4 linked regions of the Caenorhabditis elegans genome follow. The protein of the gene in region 2 interacts with the protein of the main gene of each other region in a pairwise test. Each region holds a gene or a part of one and is shown on either strand. Other genes may lie near its edges. The genes, in order: txt-18, txt-1, Y74C10AL.2 and ZK688.9.

The links.
Region 1: the proteins of txt-1 (region 2) and txt-18 interact in a two-hybrid assay, tested with the Caenorhabditis elegans proteins (one large-scale study listed by BioGRID).
Region 3: the proteins of txt-1 (region 2) and Y74C10AL.2 interact in a two-hybrid assay, tested with the Caenorhabditis elegans proteins (one large-scale study listed by BioGRID).
Region 4: the proteins of txt-1 (region 2) and ZK688.9 interact in a two-hybrid assay, tested with the Caenorhabditis elegans proteins (one large-scale study listed by BioGRID).

Annotation. Positions count from the first base shown.
Region 1 is NC_003280.10:6,342,452-6,346,066, reverse strand, and holds txt-18 (transcellular chaperone signaling (x)cross tissue), read right to left. Parts: upstream 1,996-3,615; 5' UTR 1,760-1,995; coding exon 1,745-1,759; intron 1,684-1,744; coding exon 1,452-1,683; intron 1,337-1,451; coding exon 1,183-1,336; intron 1,140-1,182; coding exon 1,033-1,139; intron 985-1,032; coding exon 710-984; 3' UTR 552-709; downstream 1-551. Other genes in the region: C32D5.8 (protein-disulfide reductase), read left to right, coding at 156-228, 2,362-2,647, 2,693-2,837.
Region 2 is NC_003280.10:104,528-108,036, forward strand, and holds txt-1 (PDZ domain-containing protein), read left to right. Parts: upstream 1-1,661; 5' UTR 1,662-1,730; coding exon 1,731-1,799; intron 1,800-2,003; coding exon 2,004-2,160; intron 2,161-2,208; coding exon 2,209-2,384; intron 2,385-2,854; coding exon 2,855-2,911; 3' UTR 2,912-2,958; downstream 2,959-3,509. Other genes in the region: col-68 (Nematode cuticle collagen N-terminal domain-containing protein), read left to right, coding at 16-94, 140-237, 296-346, 391-871, 915-1,195.
Region 3 is NC_003279.8:2,468,291-2,473,856, reverse strand, and holds Y74C10AL.2 (Transmembrane protein 50A), read left to right. Parts: upstream 1-1,921; 5' UTR 1,922-1,929; coding exon 1,930-1,988; intron 1,989-2,794; coding exon 2,795-3,006; intron 3,007-4,689; coding exon 4,690-4,892; 3' UTR 4,893-5,064; downstream 5,065-5,566. Other genes in the region: abtm-1 (Iron-sulfur clusters transporter ABCB7, mitochondrial), read left to right, coding at 196-546, 1,353-1,439.
Region 4 is NC_003281.10:7,880,568-7,884,714, forward strand, and holds ZK688.9 (TIP41-like protein), read right to left. Parts: upstream 2,434-4,147; 5' UTR 2,423-2,433; coding exon 2,258-2,422; intron 2,150-2,257; coding exon 1,868-2,149; intron 1,735-1,867; coding exon 1,618-1,734; intron 1,037-1,617; coding exon 954-1,036; intron 872-953; coding exon 673-871; 3' UTR 546-672; downstream 1-545. Other genes in the region: ZK688.11 (uncharacterized protein), read right to left, coding at 3,213-3,411, 3,460-3,626, 3,671-3,775.

The sequences.
Region 1 (3,615 bases), 6.2 Mb from region 2:
TCTGCCTTTTTGAATTCATCACGTGTATGTTCTGCCATCTCTTCTTCTTCTTATTTTTTTCAATTTGATCGCAAAATTCGATCGAAAACGTGACCTTTACCTTTTGAACGGTGTATTCGTTATCTCATCGGTTTCCCCATCATTACTTGACTGTGATGGGGAACACGGCGAATTCGAATTCGAAACAACCAGCAACGAGTGCCGCGCAGATGTCGGTCGACCCAAAAGGTAGTGAAACACTGAAAAATTTGGCAAGTTTCTCAGCAGGTGACCTGATAAACACGAAAGTTGTTTCGTTGCGATCGGGTATTATACGTTTACTTTTTGATTAGTTGTACATGGTTGGTTGGTTAACATGGTTGGTTAACCAACCACCACGTCATCTTATTTTTTAGATATCAATTCCATAGTGTACGATGAAAGTCAGTCGAAAGTATAAGCCCAGTTTAGCATTCAAGTAAATTTTTCAATAACTAAGATACCGTTTTTATATGCTCACTAATGTTTCTTATATAGATCACACAATCAGAAGATATTCGGAGCATTTCGTAGTAACCTGTTCATTCCATGAAAAAAGTATTTGCGATCAAAAATTCAGTGGTTTCATATAGGAGAGACCATGATCATGAATAAACAAACAAGAGTGTCTCGCTTTCTAGTCATAGACTATCACTTCCAATCTATACTCTTTTTTATCATTCCTTTCAATTTATTTACTTTCTTCTTTCAACCTAGACTTTTCTTCTTCGATAAACTGGAATAATCGAACTTTGTGAAGCATCAACTTGTCGTTTGGCACATCTTCTAAAAAGTTTGTTACATAGGCTATGATGTCTGCGTGTTTTTCAGAAGTTGGTAGATTTGCTGTTGAGTTAGGTGTTTTTGCAGAGCAGGTTGAAGGAGCCGAAGAATTCAATTGTATACTTGTACAACTTGTAGATTGCTGACATGTAACCGTATCTATAACTTTTTGAAGCCAGTCATCTGAAAAATTACTTGTAATTTACATACACTTTAAATCACAGTTCAGACCATTCAACTTGTCTTCTGATAGCTCATGCTCAATCTTTGGCTTTTTTGCTTTTACTTGTTGATCATCGGCTTCTGCATTGCAAGTCGTTAATGTCAATTTTGACAAGCTGGAAAAAGGTTTCCGTTTCGGAAATCTAGATCATTTCATACCTGTCTGTTTTTTCCAAATAAGGAATAAGGAATTGTAGACAATCGTAGAACGGAACTATAGACTTGGACTTCTCATCATTCTTATCACCACCATTTCTAATCATTTTTTCAAAATCATTGAATAGGTATAACCATAACTTTTCGGCGTTTCTACCTGTAAGTTGATGTGGTGTTCATAAACATGTTTATTCCTGTTCACATGTTTACAGTCCAAATCAAAAACAGTCTTTCTCTTTTCGTAAATCACATTTTCAAAACTAAAAACTAACCTTTCCTCATTGCAAGAAAATGTCCACATTTTTTCTCTATAATATAAAACGCTTTCTGTCGAAAATCACTATTCTTCTTGCACGGACTGTATAATTCTTCTCTTCCAGAAAACAATGATATGAAAAAGTCGATGTCAGATCTTCTATACGCGTCATAATGTGAGAAAGGAGGGATCTTTGATGGTCGACCCATTTTTCGTTTCTGCTCCGCTGAGCCAAACTCTAGTAAATCCTAAATTTTTTTGATTTGGAAAACCACGTGAAAAACGTAGATCCTAGCTTTTCAGACTTACTATGAACTTCTCCATATTTTCAAAGCGGTAGAGACCAAATATTAGAAATAAAAGTGGAGAAACTTATGAAAATCGGGATCGCCAGATGTTATTAGAAAGTGAAGAAATGCTAAGAAAATATATGAAAGTGCGCAAAATTTGAGACGCAGATTTTAGAGCGTCGAGAAAAAGACTCGTTTCGAGCGACCCAGTTCAAAATCTCCAATTATTGTAAACTATTTCCTCCCTTCTCCAACATCTCTCTCAGTTTTGTCAGAGTGTTGTGTGTTGACAACACCAACAACTCCCCCCGTTTTTCGTTTTGATTCTTTCTTTTCATCACGAATTCAATTTACTGTAGATTGTCATACAATTCATTCCAATAATGAAATGGAAAACTAGTTCAAAATATTCAAAACCAACATCACTAAAAGTGAAAGATATTTGTTGATCTTAAAACAACACATGTTCCTCATACATTTCATCATAGAGATATTGACTCATCCTCCGCATCATCCTCATTTTCCTTAGTTTTTGTTCCGAAAGTTTCATATAAAAACCCTAGGACTAAACTCTCCTTGTCCCATTCTATCAATTTCTCAACTCTTATATTGATTCTCCAATATATATATTTTCAGGAAAGAACATGTCTCTTTTGGCTGGAGTGAAACTTGAAAAACGCGACAAAACGTTGGTCGACGCAACTGAAGCTCTAGCTGGAAAGGCCGTCGGATTCTACTTCTCGGCTCATTGGTGCCCACCGTGCCGCGGCTTCACACCAATTCTCAAGGATTTCTATGAGGAGGTTGAAGATGAGTTCGAGGTCGTCTTCGTCTCTTTCGATCGTAGCGAGAGTGATCTGAAAATGTATATGAGCGAGCACGGTGATTGGTACCATATCCCATATGGAAATGATGCCATCAAGTAAGTTATAACTCTATAAAATCCTCTTTAACTAGTTTTTTCCAGGGAACTTTCCACCAAGTACGGAGTTTCCGGAATCCCAGCTCTCATCATCGTCAAGCCAGACGGTACTGAAGTAACAAAGGATGGACGTAACGATGTGCAAAATGGAAAGGATCCAAAGGCCACCGTCGCCAAGTGGAAGGCTTAAGCCGAATCTGCCGACATAATTCTCTGCAATGCATCTTTCTCGATTTGTTCAACCATTTTGAAGCCATTCCCATCTAAACATCCATTTGCAATACCCATCTCTCCTATGATCCTAAAATATTTCTCTTTTGTATGGAAATTGGCAGTAAACAATAATAAATATATTTATTGATTCCATGCGATTCTTCATTTGTTTTTCAGTATATCAATTACGAATTGTTCTCTTCAAAAGTCAGTGTAAACAAAGGGAATGATGTGTGAACGTTTAATTGGTCAGTTGGAAAGATTTTAACTTGTCCATCATAGCTGACGTACAAGAAAACAATTGTTCTTTCTACGAAGGTTTTAAGATATTTAACAGCTCAAAAAATAATTATGACTACTAGAGATCTATAGATACTTGAACATAGTAAGCAAACACTCTTTGAAACCACAACATAATTCTGAAAATACCCTTTTTCAGACCACAAGAGTACATCACACCTTATCCGGTCTTTGTTGCCTTGACAACATCTTCAATCTCTTCTTTTTATTCACTATTTCCCTTTTGGATTTTGCTGCTCCATTCTTCTCCATTTGCGTCACAACACCACCTGCCTCTCGTTTCCGCCCATCTGACAATGTTTCTATTTCTCTTTCATTCACATTCCAAAGCTTCTAACGATTTTTTTCGTCTTTTCAGCTTATTACTTTTCCAAAAAAAATTAATAAAATGACGATAGCAGCTGCACACATTCAATCACCTTGTCTTCTTCGGTGCGCGGTGACTCGAAGAGTAG
Region 2 (3,509 bases):
GATTCCAGAAGAACTATGGCTTCTGAATCGTCGCACGATGATCCAAAGTATGAAGCACAGGAAGCTGATGCAATGCGGAAGTTGGCGTTTTTCGGTGAGTTTACTCCATAGTAACAAAATGAATGCCTGAACTTTTAAGGAATTGCCATATCCACTGTTGCTACATTAACTGCAATAATGGCAGTCCCCATGCTCTACAATTACATGCAACACGTTCAATCTGCATTGCAATCTGAAGTATGTACTTGTTATTCTGAATTCGTGTTGTTATTATTATAATTTCTTTTTTTTAAAGGTAGATTTCTGTCGACACAGAACAAATGGATTGTGGGACGAGTACAATAAAGTAAGAGTTTTTTTTCGGATCAAAAGGAATTTTCTTTTATTCAGTTTGAATCTGTTGCGGGCGTCCGTAGACGCATCAAACGCGCGACATATCAAAAATCAAATGGAGTCACCGGACGTCTTGCTCATCGTCGTCGGGCAGTTGCTCGTGGCGCATCTAGCTACGATGGCGGATTTAATGAAGAAGTTCCAGTTGGAGGTGGTGGTGGTGGAGGAGCATGCTGCTCTTGTGGAGTTGGCCCACCTGGTCCATCAGGAGCTCCAGGAACAGACGGGAATCCTGGAAATGATGGGTCTCCAGGAAATCCTGGAACACCCGGACAAGATGCAGTAGGAGACGAATCCCCGACTGCTGCAGATTTCTGTTTCGACTGCCCAACAGGACCACCGGGACCACCTGGAAAGCAAGGACCTAAAGGACCAAATGGAGAACCAGGCGCTCCAGGAACTCCAGGAGGAAATGCACTTCCAGGACCACCAGGTCCCCCTGGACCTCAAGGTCCACCGGGAGCCGATGGATTACCAGGTACATTAGCATATTTGAAAAAATCTAACGAAAAACGTTTCAGGTAACCCCGGGGCTCCAGGTGTTCCAGGCCAAGTTATCGAAGTACCAGGTACTCCAGGGCCAGCTGGTCCACCAGGTCCTCCAGGCCCAATCGGCCCACCAGGACAGCCAGGAGCTCCAGGAAGTTCCCAACCAGGACCACAAGGGCCACCAGGAGACCCAGGAATTGATGGAGCTCCAGGAAATCCTGGATCTCCAGGAGAGCCTGGACCACCAGGACAACCAGGAGCTGGTGGTGGATGCGATCATTGTCCTCCACCAAGAACTGCTCCAGGATATTAATTTTCTGAACTTTAAGCCGACTGTATTGTCTTTCATAGCCCTATTTCTGTTCAACCGGTAGATTTATTCGATAAATCACAATTTTTTAATCATAATGAAAATTTATTCACGAAAATGATCACGTACTTGATCTCAAACTTGAGTTTCAGGTACTCCATGTGTAAAGTCATTTCATCAGTTTCAGTGGGTCTAGGTTTAGAGAAATATTGGTTTTATCAAAAAATTTTGACACAGTCACGTTTGGTGAATTTTCTAATTCAAAAGACAACTTTATTTTACTACCGGACCCAATCATACTCCATTATAAAATTACATACTCTTTATTAAAGTTCTCCACAAATTAAATCAAAATTTTGAGTGTTTAAAAAGCAAAAACTAATAAAAAATAAATAGAAAACCACGTCCAGTTTTTTAATAGATCACGCCACCACGTCACTGAAGTCTACATTTTCCGTAAAGAGCTTTCAATAAAATCATTTCAAAAATCAGAACAAGTAACGTGGTTCCTTCAACTCTTTCTCTTATTTTCAAAAAAATGAGCACTACAGGATCTGCACCGCCCAATTCAAAACTTAAATCAGTTGAGGACACGGATGATGATAGGGTGAGTAGACAGGGGTGGGTGGCAATTGCCGGTCGACAAAATTTTTGTCGGCACATTGCCGGTTTTTTGCCGATCTGCTAGAAATTTCCATTTCCGGTAATGTGCCAGTTGCCCGAAATTTTCATTAAAATTTTCATTTTGACATTGCCGATTGCCGCGCACCCCTGAGTATTAATGCTCTTCACATAAACATGGCTACTTCAGACTCTCGCTGAAGACGATCAAAACGATCAAAACTCTGGGAGTATGGATCACCGATTTGAGAGAATCAAGGTGACACTGATGATGACTCAGGGCAAGAAGTTCGGACTTGGAATAGTATCTGTTCATCAACGTATACTGGTCTGCAAAGTGGAAAATGGTTAGCGAATACTTTTATAGACTCTTTTCTAATTGGTAGACATTTCAGAATCTCTAGTAGCCGGGGTTCTCAAGTACGGAGATCAGATTATCGAGATTAACAAGAAAAACGTCTTAAACAAAATTGATTGTAAGAAGCGGTTGATGCAATGCCTCAAGGATAAAGGACAAGTTGATATTATCATTGTGCGCCCAAAGACTGCAGATGCTGTTACCATGATTGAAGTGAGATTGTGAATTTAACACAGGGGTGGGCAACAATTGCCGATTTGCCTGAAATTTTCAATTCCGGCAACTGACCGGTTGCCAATTTGCCAGAAATTTTAAATTCCGGCAATTTGCCGGTTTGCCGCCCACCCCTGATTTAACTTGACTGATTTTCGGCAGGAACACTTAAAACTGTGCCTTTTTGAAACGTTTTTTTCTTTTTTCTTTTATGTTCTCATAGAATTTGCTTACTTTTCAAAATAGATGTAGGAACATTCTTAGGATGTGTAAAACGTAGCCGAGCGTAGCCGATTCCGATTGAAATTGAAATTTTGAAATTTCCAAAAAAATTGCTGTTTTTCCGGCAAATTTGCCGGAAATTTTCAATTCTGGCAATTTGTCAATTTGCCGAAAATCTCAATTTCGGCAAAATTGTTTGCCGTCCACCCCTGATTTAACATGATTGATTTTTTAAAATTATTTTTCAGCAAGAAATTCAACTCTCGCAACAACCGAGCACTACTGCACAGCCAAAGATCAATTGAACTTGTATAATGAATAAAAAGTATAAGTACAGAATTAAAATTGAACTTTGGCCCCATTCCAGCAATAAATGTTTTGTAACAAATAATAATCCCCAGTCACAAAAATAAATAAGTTTTCCCCTTCCCCCCACTTTCACTTCTCTGGCTTTTCTTTTTCTGTTTCCGTTTCTCATCTAGAATTCCAAATTCCACGACATATTGTTTCTGTTGCCTAAAAAATGTGTATTGGTTTAGTGGTTAGTTTAATTTAATCAAGAATGGCGCCATAACATTCAAATCTTAAGCTGCAGCCAACAACAAAATGCATTGATGAGATTTAATCAAATTTCTCTGCTCTTATTTTTGTAGTTCTCATTCTTTAAAAAAATATTTTTAGCAACTTCACACACTTCAATTTCATGTGTTTTATAATATCACCCAATCCATTAATGCAGCTAAATATGGAGAAAGCGCTCGGCTTTTCTGCCTTGCCTGGCTGAAGCCTCAGGCGGCAATTAATGGAGCTCTGAGAGCAATAGAGAGATGAAAAAGTTAAAGCGGGCGTAAGAGACGCAGATGGATGGGAAACTGAACCATCTTCTTTTTCTTTATTTTGCTC
Region 3 (5,566 bases), on a different chromosome or scaffold from region 2:
AAATTCAAATTTTTAATAAAATTTTGAATTTGGTACAAAACTTCACAACTCTTCCGAATTTTGTTTTTTTTTCAAATTTTTTCGGGCAAATCCCAAAAAATTAAAGTTTCACTTTTTTTTTCGAGCAGTTTTCAACTTTTTTTTTCAAAATTTCTCATTAAAATATGCTACTCCTAATTTTCGATCGATTTTCAGGGTTACGAGACGCTTGTCGGTGAGAGAGGACTAAAATTGTCTGGAGGAGAGAAGCAGAGAGTTGCAATTGCTCGAGCAATTCTTAAAAATGCTCCATTTGTTATTTACGATGAAGCCACATCTTCACTGGATGCAATCACTGAATCAAATATTATGAAAGCGTTAAAAGGAGCCGTCGAAAAACGAACATCTCTTTTTATTGCACATCGTCTGGCGACAATTGTCGATGCTGATATTATTTATGTGCTTCAAGATGGAAAAGTCGCTGAAAAAGGATCACATTTTGATCTTTTAGCGGTGGACGGGCTCTATGCACAACTGTGGAAGTCACAGAATATTCATGGAGTTGCGGTACGGTTTTTTTGTTGAAAAACCGTTAAAAATAGTTTTAAAAAATAAAAAATTGAGCCAGAAATGTCGGAAAATTGCAAAATTTGCTGTTAAAATTGAATTTTCTAGAAAAAAAAAGTTTTGGAAGTTTTTAAAAACTAGAAAAAGTTCAAAAAGAAATACACATCTTCTCCAAAAAATTCGAAAAACTAGTCGAAATTCAGAATATAAAAGTTTTTTTTAAATTCAGAATATTGTTTAAAAATTTTTTTGAAAAATTCGAATTTTGGCAAATTTATAAAGCTGGAAATTAATTTTTTCTGAAAATTTCCAAATAAAAACCGGAATTTCGAATAAAATGTCATTGCTTTTCTGAATTTTGAGAACAAAAAAATGTCTAAAAAAATGGCTAAAATTTCGAAAAATTCAAATTTTGGCGAATTTTTGAAGCTGGAAATTCATTTTTTTTTTCAATAGACAATTTCCGAACAAATTCGACCGCCTTTCTCAATTTTGAGCCCAAAAAAAGCCCGAAAAATGGCCAAAGTCAGCAATTTAATCCAAAAATAGCCAGAATAATGGCAAAAAAGCCCGAAAACTGGCGAAAAACTCAAAAAATTTTAGCCCAAATATGCCAGAAAAATGGCAAAAAAAGTAAACATTTTAGGCCAAAAAACCCCGAAAAATTGCCAAAAAGCCAGCAAGTTAAGCCAAAAAAAGCCCGAAAAAACTCAAAATTTTATGCCAAAAAAAACCCGAAAAATGGCAAAAATCCCAATTTTTTAGCCATAAAATCCCGAAAAATGGCAAAAATCCCAATTTTACAGCCAAAAAAGTCGAAAGAAGAGGACGACGATCTGATGCTTGAACTGGATCTTGACAAGTGTTGCGGAAGTTCCAGCTGCAATCGATAAATCAATTTTCTAACATTTTTTTTTCTTTTTATTTTCTAGGATTCCATTTATTTTTTTTTATTTTTTTGATTTGTTAAGTTAAATTTTCCTTTTTTTTTGCATTTTTTTCCCCTAAAAACACTTTTTTTATAAAATTTTTTTTTCTAGGATCGGGTGTGAAAATCTGTGTTCTTTGTTCTTTGTTCTTTGTTTTTTGCTGTAATTAGATCGTTTTCTAGATAATTTCTTTTTCTCAGTTCCCCCCGTTTTCTTAGGTTCCCTCATCACTGTTGCTCATGTCTTGTCCCCAAAAAAAATACTTGTTTCAATTTTTTTTCTTCAAAATTTCTCGATTTTCCATTTTTTTTTTCTCAAAAAAAAAAAATATTTCATTTGTTTAACTCAATTTTTTTTGTTGGAAGATTTTAATCGTTTTCTACATTCGATTTTTTTATATTTTTCAAATTTTTAACCCCATTTTTCCTCCTAATTTCCAATTTCAGAGCGAGAGATGTCTGGCTGCTTTGACCAGATTCGATGCAATTGCTCGTTTGATTTGGAGGGGCGTAGGTGAGGAATTTTCGATTCAAAAAAAAAATTGAAAATCCGTCAATTTTGAAAATGTCCTCAAAATTGTGAAAAAAAATCAATTTTACAAGTTTTTTTTTTAATTTTAAAAACTCTGAAAATTGAAGAAAAAAAATTCAAAAAGGATTTTTAAATTGCAAAAATAAATATTTAACTCAATTTTTATAAAATTCATGATTTTTGAACTTGTAATTTCGAGTTTCCGCAGTAAATCAAAAAAAAAATCTAATTTCAAACATCAGAATAATTGAAAAAAAATTGGATTTTGGAATATTTTTCTCAATTTGGGATGCTAAATTCAAAAAAATAGAAAATTAATTTTTTTCACTAAAAACAGCTAATTTCAATAGAATGAAATTTTAAAAAATTAACAAAAAAATAAGAGGAAAATTCAAATTTTTCTTTTAAAAAAAATCGAAAAATCATTGGAAATTAGGTAGTAAAATAAACGAAAGTTTACCTTTTTTTCGAAAATTTATTTAAAGAATTTAATTAAAAACATTCAAACATCTGATAAATTTTAAATTTTCGAATTTTATTCCTAAAAATTACTAATTTTTTTTGGCAAAAATCGACGAAATTTGTTAGTTTTATTCTAGAAATTGATAAAAAATTCCAAATTTTTACGTTTCTTTATGGAAAAATGTCTTAAAAATTGGCAAATTATGTCTCAAATTAAAAAAAATAAAAACGAAAAAAATTAATTTTAATAAAATTTTATTTCAAAAATTGCGAATTTTCGAGCAATTAAAAAAATTAAATTTTAATCAAATTCCAAATTGTTCCAGAAACGCCGTTGCCTCTGTCGTCTCTGCTGCACTGTTCTTCATTGGCTGGTGGCTGATGATCGATACGGCGGCAGTTACCAATAAGGAAAATTGGACAAATGTCTACTTTATCATTACAGTTGCAAGCACAGTTGCAATGTTCATGGTTAATGCTATTTCGAATAGCCAAGTTCGTGGCGAGAGCCTCCATGAGGGACTTCTTGGGACAAAAGGTGCTTTGAAGCGAAAAAAAAAGAATTTGCGGAAAAATCTGAATAAAAAAAAGGGAAATTGCATTAAAAAAATCGAAAATATTTTTTTAAAAAATTTTTGTTTTGAAAGCTGAAGCCAAAAAAAATTTTTAAAAAAATCAAAAAAGCGTTCGTTTTTTTTCAAACTTTTTTGAATAATTTGACAAAAAAGCGTTGAAAAAATTTGAAAATCGAAAGTTTCAATTTAAATTTTAAAAATCACGAAAAAAAATATTTAGACGATAAGAGCTATGAATTTTTCAAAAATATCCTGTTTTTAATTGAAAAAAATTGAACATTTCTTCAAAAAAAATAAATGAGCGGAATTTTTCCCAAAAAGTTAGATTTTTGAAAAAAAAAATTTTATTAATTTTTTTGTTGTTTTTACTTCGATTTTTTAGAGAAAACAATTTCACAAGACATCAAAAGTGTGAATTTTTGTGAAAAAACTGGCTATGAATACGTTTTTCAGAAAAATCAAGAAAAAATTTCCAATGAAGTTGTAATTTTTTGAAGAAATTTTCTACAAAATGACGGTTTTTTCATTAAATTTAACATTTTCAACTTTTTTTCCCCGATTTTCACTGAAAAACACTACAAAACTTTTATTAAAAATTGAAAAAAAAAACTGAAAATTCCTTTCAGAAAACTATCTTAATTTTTTCATTAAAATTAAAAAAAAATAGTTTTTCTGAAAAATTTCGTATTTTTGATAGTTTTCCGTTTTTTTGGTTTTGAAATTTTTATTCCAGAATTTTTTATATTTTCAAAAAGTGAAATTTTTCTTGTTTTTGAAGAAATTTGTTGATTTTTCCATAAAAAATTGGATATTAAAAAAAAATTATAGCTCACTTTGATTTTTTAAATTTAAATTTAAAAAATTCAACAAAAAAAATAAAAAAGCGAATTTTGTTTAATTTTTTCCAATTTTTTGAACAAATTCCAGTAGTTTTTCATATTTTTCGAAAAAAAAGTTTCCAAAAAATCAGAATAAAAACGACGAAAATCAAACAAAAAGTATTTATTTTTTTGAAAAAAATTGATTTTTCCATTAAAACTGGATATTTTTGGAAAATTGCTTTTTTTTTTAATTTTAATTTTAAAAAATTTTCAAAAATTTTCAAAATTGTTTTTCAATTTTTCAACAAAAAGAATATTTTTTTCCCAAATTTTTGTATAAAAATCTGGGCATTTTATATATTCTCGATTTTTCGAAAAAGTTTCCAGAAAAGTTCATAAAAAATTTTTCCAGGATCTCGTCTCTGATTGATGGCTTTTTTTTTCTCTAAAAAATCGGAATAAAAACTAAAATCAAAAGAAAAATTAGAATATTTTTGAACTTTTTTTTGTTGAAAAATCCCACATTTTTTTGGATTTTTAAAATTTAAATTATGTTTTTTTTTTCAAAAAAAAAAAGTGAAAATAAATCTTTGAAAAAAAAGTTTTAATTTAAATTTTAAAAAATCGATTAAACATATTTAGACGATAAGAGCTATGAATTTTTCAAAAATGTCCTGTTTTTAATTACAAAAATCGAAAATTTCTTTTCAAAAAAAAAAAATTACAGGAAATTAGAACAGCTTTTGGAATTTTTAAAATTTAAATTAAATTTAAAAAAAAAGCGAAAAAAAATTTTTTTTTCAATAAAAATTCCACAATTTCCAGGATCCCGTCTCTGGTTGATGGCCGCCTTCGTCGTCTCGTTCGCCTCTCTCGTTGCCGCCACGTGGATTCTCTTCTCGGACTATGTTCTAATTCAAGGATCTCACAGTGTCTGGCCAGGCGTTGCCCTTTTCCTCACCAACTTCATAATTTTCGCTTCCTCATGTGTCTACAAATTTGGACGTACCGAAGAGATGTGGGGATAAGCGCGGATGCTCCTGGATTCGGATTTTATTCTCGAAAAAAAATTCAAAAATTTTCTCTTTTTTTTCATATTCCACTACTTATTCGTCATTTTCCTTGTCCATTTCCCTTATTACAGTACCCCATTTTACGTACATTTATAACTTATATTTTTTCTGTAAATACATAGTAATTCTTTGAGCCATTATCTAAAGTTTCAGCGAAAAAACTGGAAAAATCGGTTGAATTTTTCGGGGAAAACGAACAAAAAAAATTTTTTGGGCCGAAAATTGACAAATTCTTGATTTTAGATTTTTCCTTCTCAATTTAAAATCGAAAAAAATTCCAAAAAAAGCTGAAAATCGCAAATTCCTTTTTTTTCTGTTTTTGAGTCAATTTTTGTAATTTTTCGGCTAAAAATTTTGGCAAAAAATGCCAAAATTTTCTGAAAAATCCACAAAATCCCCCATAAAATTTAGATTTTTTCCAAAGAAATAGCTTTTCACCAAAAATATCTTTTGAATTAGAGTTTCAAAAAAAATCTAGAAATTTTCCAATTCTCCCTTTTCACTGAAAGGGAGAATTTCGAAAATAAATTTTTTTTTTCGCGAAAAAATTCGTAAAAATTGCGATTTTTTGTTGCAAAATTTTATTTGTCTCCAAATTTTATTCCAATTTTTGCAAGAAAAATACACCA
Region 4 (4,147 bases), on a different chromosome or scaffold from region 2:
ATGGAAGAGTGTTGCATCAAGGGCGGGGAGCAAATGTCATTTCGATGGATGAAGTGAGCTCCAGACAAAAGACAACAAAAGAAATGTGTAGATGAGTGTGTGTATGTGTATTTGAAATCTGAGTGGGTTTCGGTTTTTTGCACATTTTACATGAGAAACCAGAGGAAAACATATGCTCTCGCGAAATTTTGCGATTTTACCGTTAAAAATACTGTACCCGGTTTCGACACGACAAATTTTTGTTGAATTCAAAAAGGTGTGCGTCTTTAGACACTTTTAGTGATATTCCGAGTTTTTCAAATTTATGTATTTCTAATGTTGTACATGTGTTGTATATATACATCAGTGTTAACAAATCGTTAGATAAACTATACAGTACTCTTTAAAGGCGCTCCCTTTTTGCATTTCACAAAAATTTGTCGTGTTGAGACCGGGCACCGTATTGTTTAACAAAAATTGCAAATTTGCGCCTGCTTCTAGCTTCTCATAGTTTTTAATTTTTCTCATCGGAGATAGTTTTATGAATTCTAAAACTCCGAAATTTTGACAAACGAACGTAATTTTTATTTCCGAATCGTTAAGCCAGTATCACGAAAATTGAAATAAAACAGGAACAATCGAAATGTTAGTGGAAAAAAGGAGAGATCTATTTGAAAATATTAATGAGACAATTCAAAAAAGGCGTTCACGATCAACTGATACACGATCAAAGTGCTCTTCAACAACTGGAAGATGCATCCATGCTCTGTCTACATCTAATAATTCCTCCGGATCAACGTGACCAAGATTCCCGTACTTTGCTTCTCGAAGTTGCCACTCACGAATGACATGTCCATCGAATTCGTTGCCAACAATTCTGGTGTCACATACTCTGTTAATTGTGTAAATTATTATTCTGTGGTATTTTGAAGCAAATTCTCCTATAGCAGATAAATTTTCTCAAAAAGGCCAACCTGAGAAGAACATTGTCAACTCTCATGTAGAAGCGAAGAAGGACAAAAAAGTATCCGCGCATGACACGAACTCGCGCCAAAAGCTGAAAAATGAATATATTTATACCAGCCGTGGACCGCACCTCCGGCGCGGCGCCCGACTTCTGGAGCTGAAAACCAATTTTTCTGAGACTACCGTAATCATACAGTACTCCTACCGTACCACCATTGTACCACTACAGTACGCCGACTATATCCCTACACTAACCCCAACTCACTATCCCTCCAGAAGCTAAAACTTCGCAGACTACAAAGACTACATAGACTACAAACTATGGACAAACGGAATAAGCGCTTTATATATAGTAAATGATAACCCAGATGCGAAATATTGCGATTTTCGCATTAAAAATACGGTAACCGGTCTTGAAGCGATTCTAGGTTTACTGTAGTTGCCAACTCCTCATTGTCGAGTGATTTTATGAGTTATATTCCTCTTTTTATTTTTTGAAAAATGTGAAAATATAAATACATCAAGTTTTGAAGAAACAGAAAACAATAGGAAAACAACAATAAAATGTTGATAACTACAGTACTCCTTATAGAGAATCGATCGCTTGGAGACCGGCTACCCTACTTTTCGATCGAAAATCGGGACATTTTGCATCTGAATAATATTACAAACCTGAGCGATTCCATGATCTGCCAATTCGTCCTCAAACAATGTGATACTCGATGAAAACAAAATCTCGTCGCGTCTTTTCAGTCGTTCCATATCGATTCGTTCAGTTGTAGGAGTGACCTGGAGAAATTTTCAAATTTTTATTCTGAAATTTTACTTTTCATTTTTTTTCTCCAAATACTTGACACAACTGATTTTTTTAATTTTAACTTGGGGTAATATTAAATATCATATATTTGAAGTAAAAACTAACCTGACACCCAGTCACAGTTCCTTTGTAATGTGTAGTATAGGTCCAGTCAAACGGCTTCTGATGTTCCGATATTTGCTGAATCCGATCTTGTCTTGCAGATTGCCATACTGTCGACGCACCAACTTTTACATCGGGCAGACGATCCGCACAAACCATTTTGAGGGCATCCAGCGCGTTGAATTCGATAGAACCGAGTCGACCGAACTGGATTGTCAGAGAATTTCGTGCGAATACCATTTCCGGGCGCTCTTCAAGTTTCAACTCCCGGTCATATTTGCATTTCTGTTGAATGAACACATTTAGGCAAGAGCATTTTTATTTTGTTGTTAATTAGCAGAAAAGTTGTTTTAGAATTGCGAATAAACTATTCAATCAGAAATTTTCCCCTACCAAACAACTCGGATCCTCTTGATCTTCTGAATGCTTGCAGGAGCTCTCCAAAATGTGTCCAGCCAGTGAAATGAATTTAAAAAATCCCAGATCGAACTTTTCCTCTCGTTTTGCGTTTTTTGCAGCTCGCACCATCACCTCGTCAATGCTTCTCCGATCTGACATTTCTGAAGTGACCTGAAAAAAACTGTTTTTACTGTGAAAATAAAAGTTTATTGCAACAGATTCGGAATGAGCATAATTTTTTCATATCTAAACGTTTTTTACTAAACACTAGAAAATTTAGAATTTTAAAATTCGCGGAAAAATTACGTTTTGCCCAAAAATAAACTCATTTTTTTACTGAATTTGAAGGAAAATCTATTGCAACTTATTTCTGCTTAAATCATTTTTATTCTAGAAAACGAGGAAAAAGTTTCGAAATATTTTGAACAAGAAGCCCAATTTATAGATAAAATTTAGACGTATTTTTCTTTTCTCTGCTCTTATGATCGATTTTCGCAGAGGTTTTTGATTATCCGGTAAATATTACTAGTTATTCTAATTTTTCATTAAAAAATTACATCGAAAATAACGAAAAAACATCGAAAAACGCGAAAGATCAACGAAACCAATTCATGAATTAATTCGAATTTATAATTCAGTACAAAAGCGATTCGGTCGCGGGACTAGATTTTGCAACTTCCTAGGCCATTTCCAATTTGCAGTGCTAATTGGAAAATGCGTCTACAAAAATATCTACAAAAATTGAAAACATGAAACTGAAGAATTTATTTTAAAATTGTTTAGTGTATCACAACTGTAAGAACAGTCTACATTCGGCAAGATCATATGAAAATGGCATTAAGCTAGCTGAACAGAAGGGGAAACAAGTCGATTAATCGATCGATTGTGAAAATTAAAATTAAAGCTTGAATGAATATCACAAAGGAATTTTTTCGAACCATTTCTACCCTTATTGTCTGAAATACGAAGTGATGAAAGGAACAACAAAGATTGCGATAAACATGAAAAGAAATCGATAAAATACATAAGAAGCTGTTATTCCTGCCTCGTTCTTAACTTTTGGTGCTGCTTTTGGAGATTTCCGAACCGGTTCCGATTGGCGTTCTAACGTTCTATTACGAACTGACATGGCAGAAGATTCAGAAGAGCTGAAACGATGAATTTAAGTAAAATTCGAACCTCACTATTTCGCTAACCGCGGCATATTTAATGATTCTTGATCATCATCAAAACTATCTGATTTGTTCATTAAATCGGCAAGAGTTTGTGAATCCCATTGAAGATGCCCTGTTGAATTTGGTTTTTGCATAATTTTTGAAATCATGGAGAACATTTCTTCGTTTTTTGCTCCCATTTGCTCTACCTGTAATAACTAATAGGTTATGGTCGGCTTATAAGTTTTCAGACCTTTTTTTCAACATTTTTCATGGTCATTTCTTGATTTCGACTTCCTATGTTCCTTTTATAGCCACGCATTTTAACAAGATCCGATTCAATTACATCTCGGGTTTTCTGAAATAAACTTTATGAAACTTCTCAGATAAAAGTTTATTAAATAGCCATTCAAAGCGAGTTTGTATAGATTTCAACGAATATAAAACTGCTCATACCTATATTATGAATTTAAATTCGGCTCAACTTTATACAAATTCGATGTGGATCTACTTAAATTTGAGATTTATAAATTTGCCTAGAATGAGAAATTGAGTAGAATTTGTATTCTTAAAAAAATTGGCATTTCTGCTCAAACTGAGTTGAAACCTATACAAATTTGATTTTCATTTGGCTATATTATAAACGGTTTATCTGGGTTATTGGTCCCCGACAATTTCACTCTCTCTGCAGAAAATAATAGTTTCTGGTCAGCTTTTAGTTCATCAAATA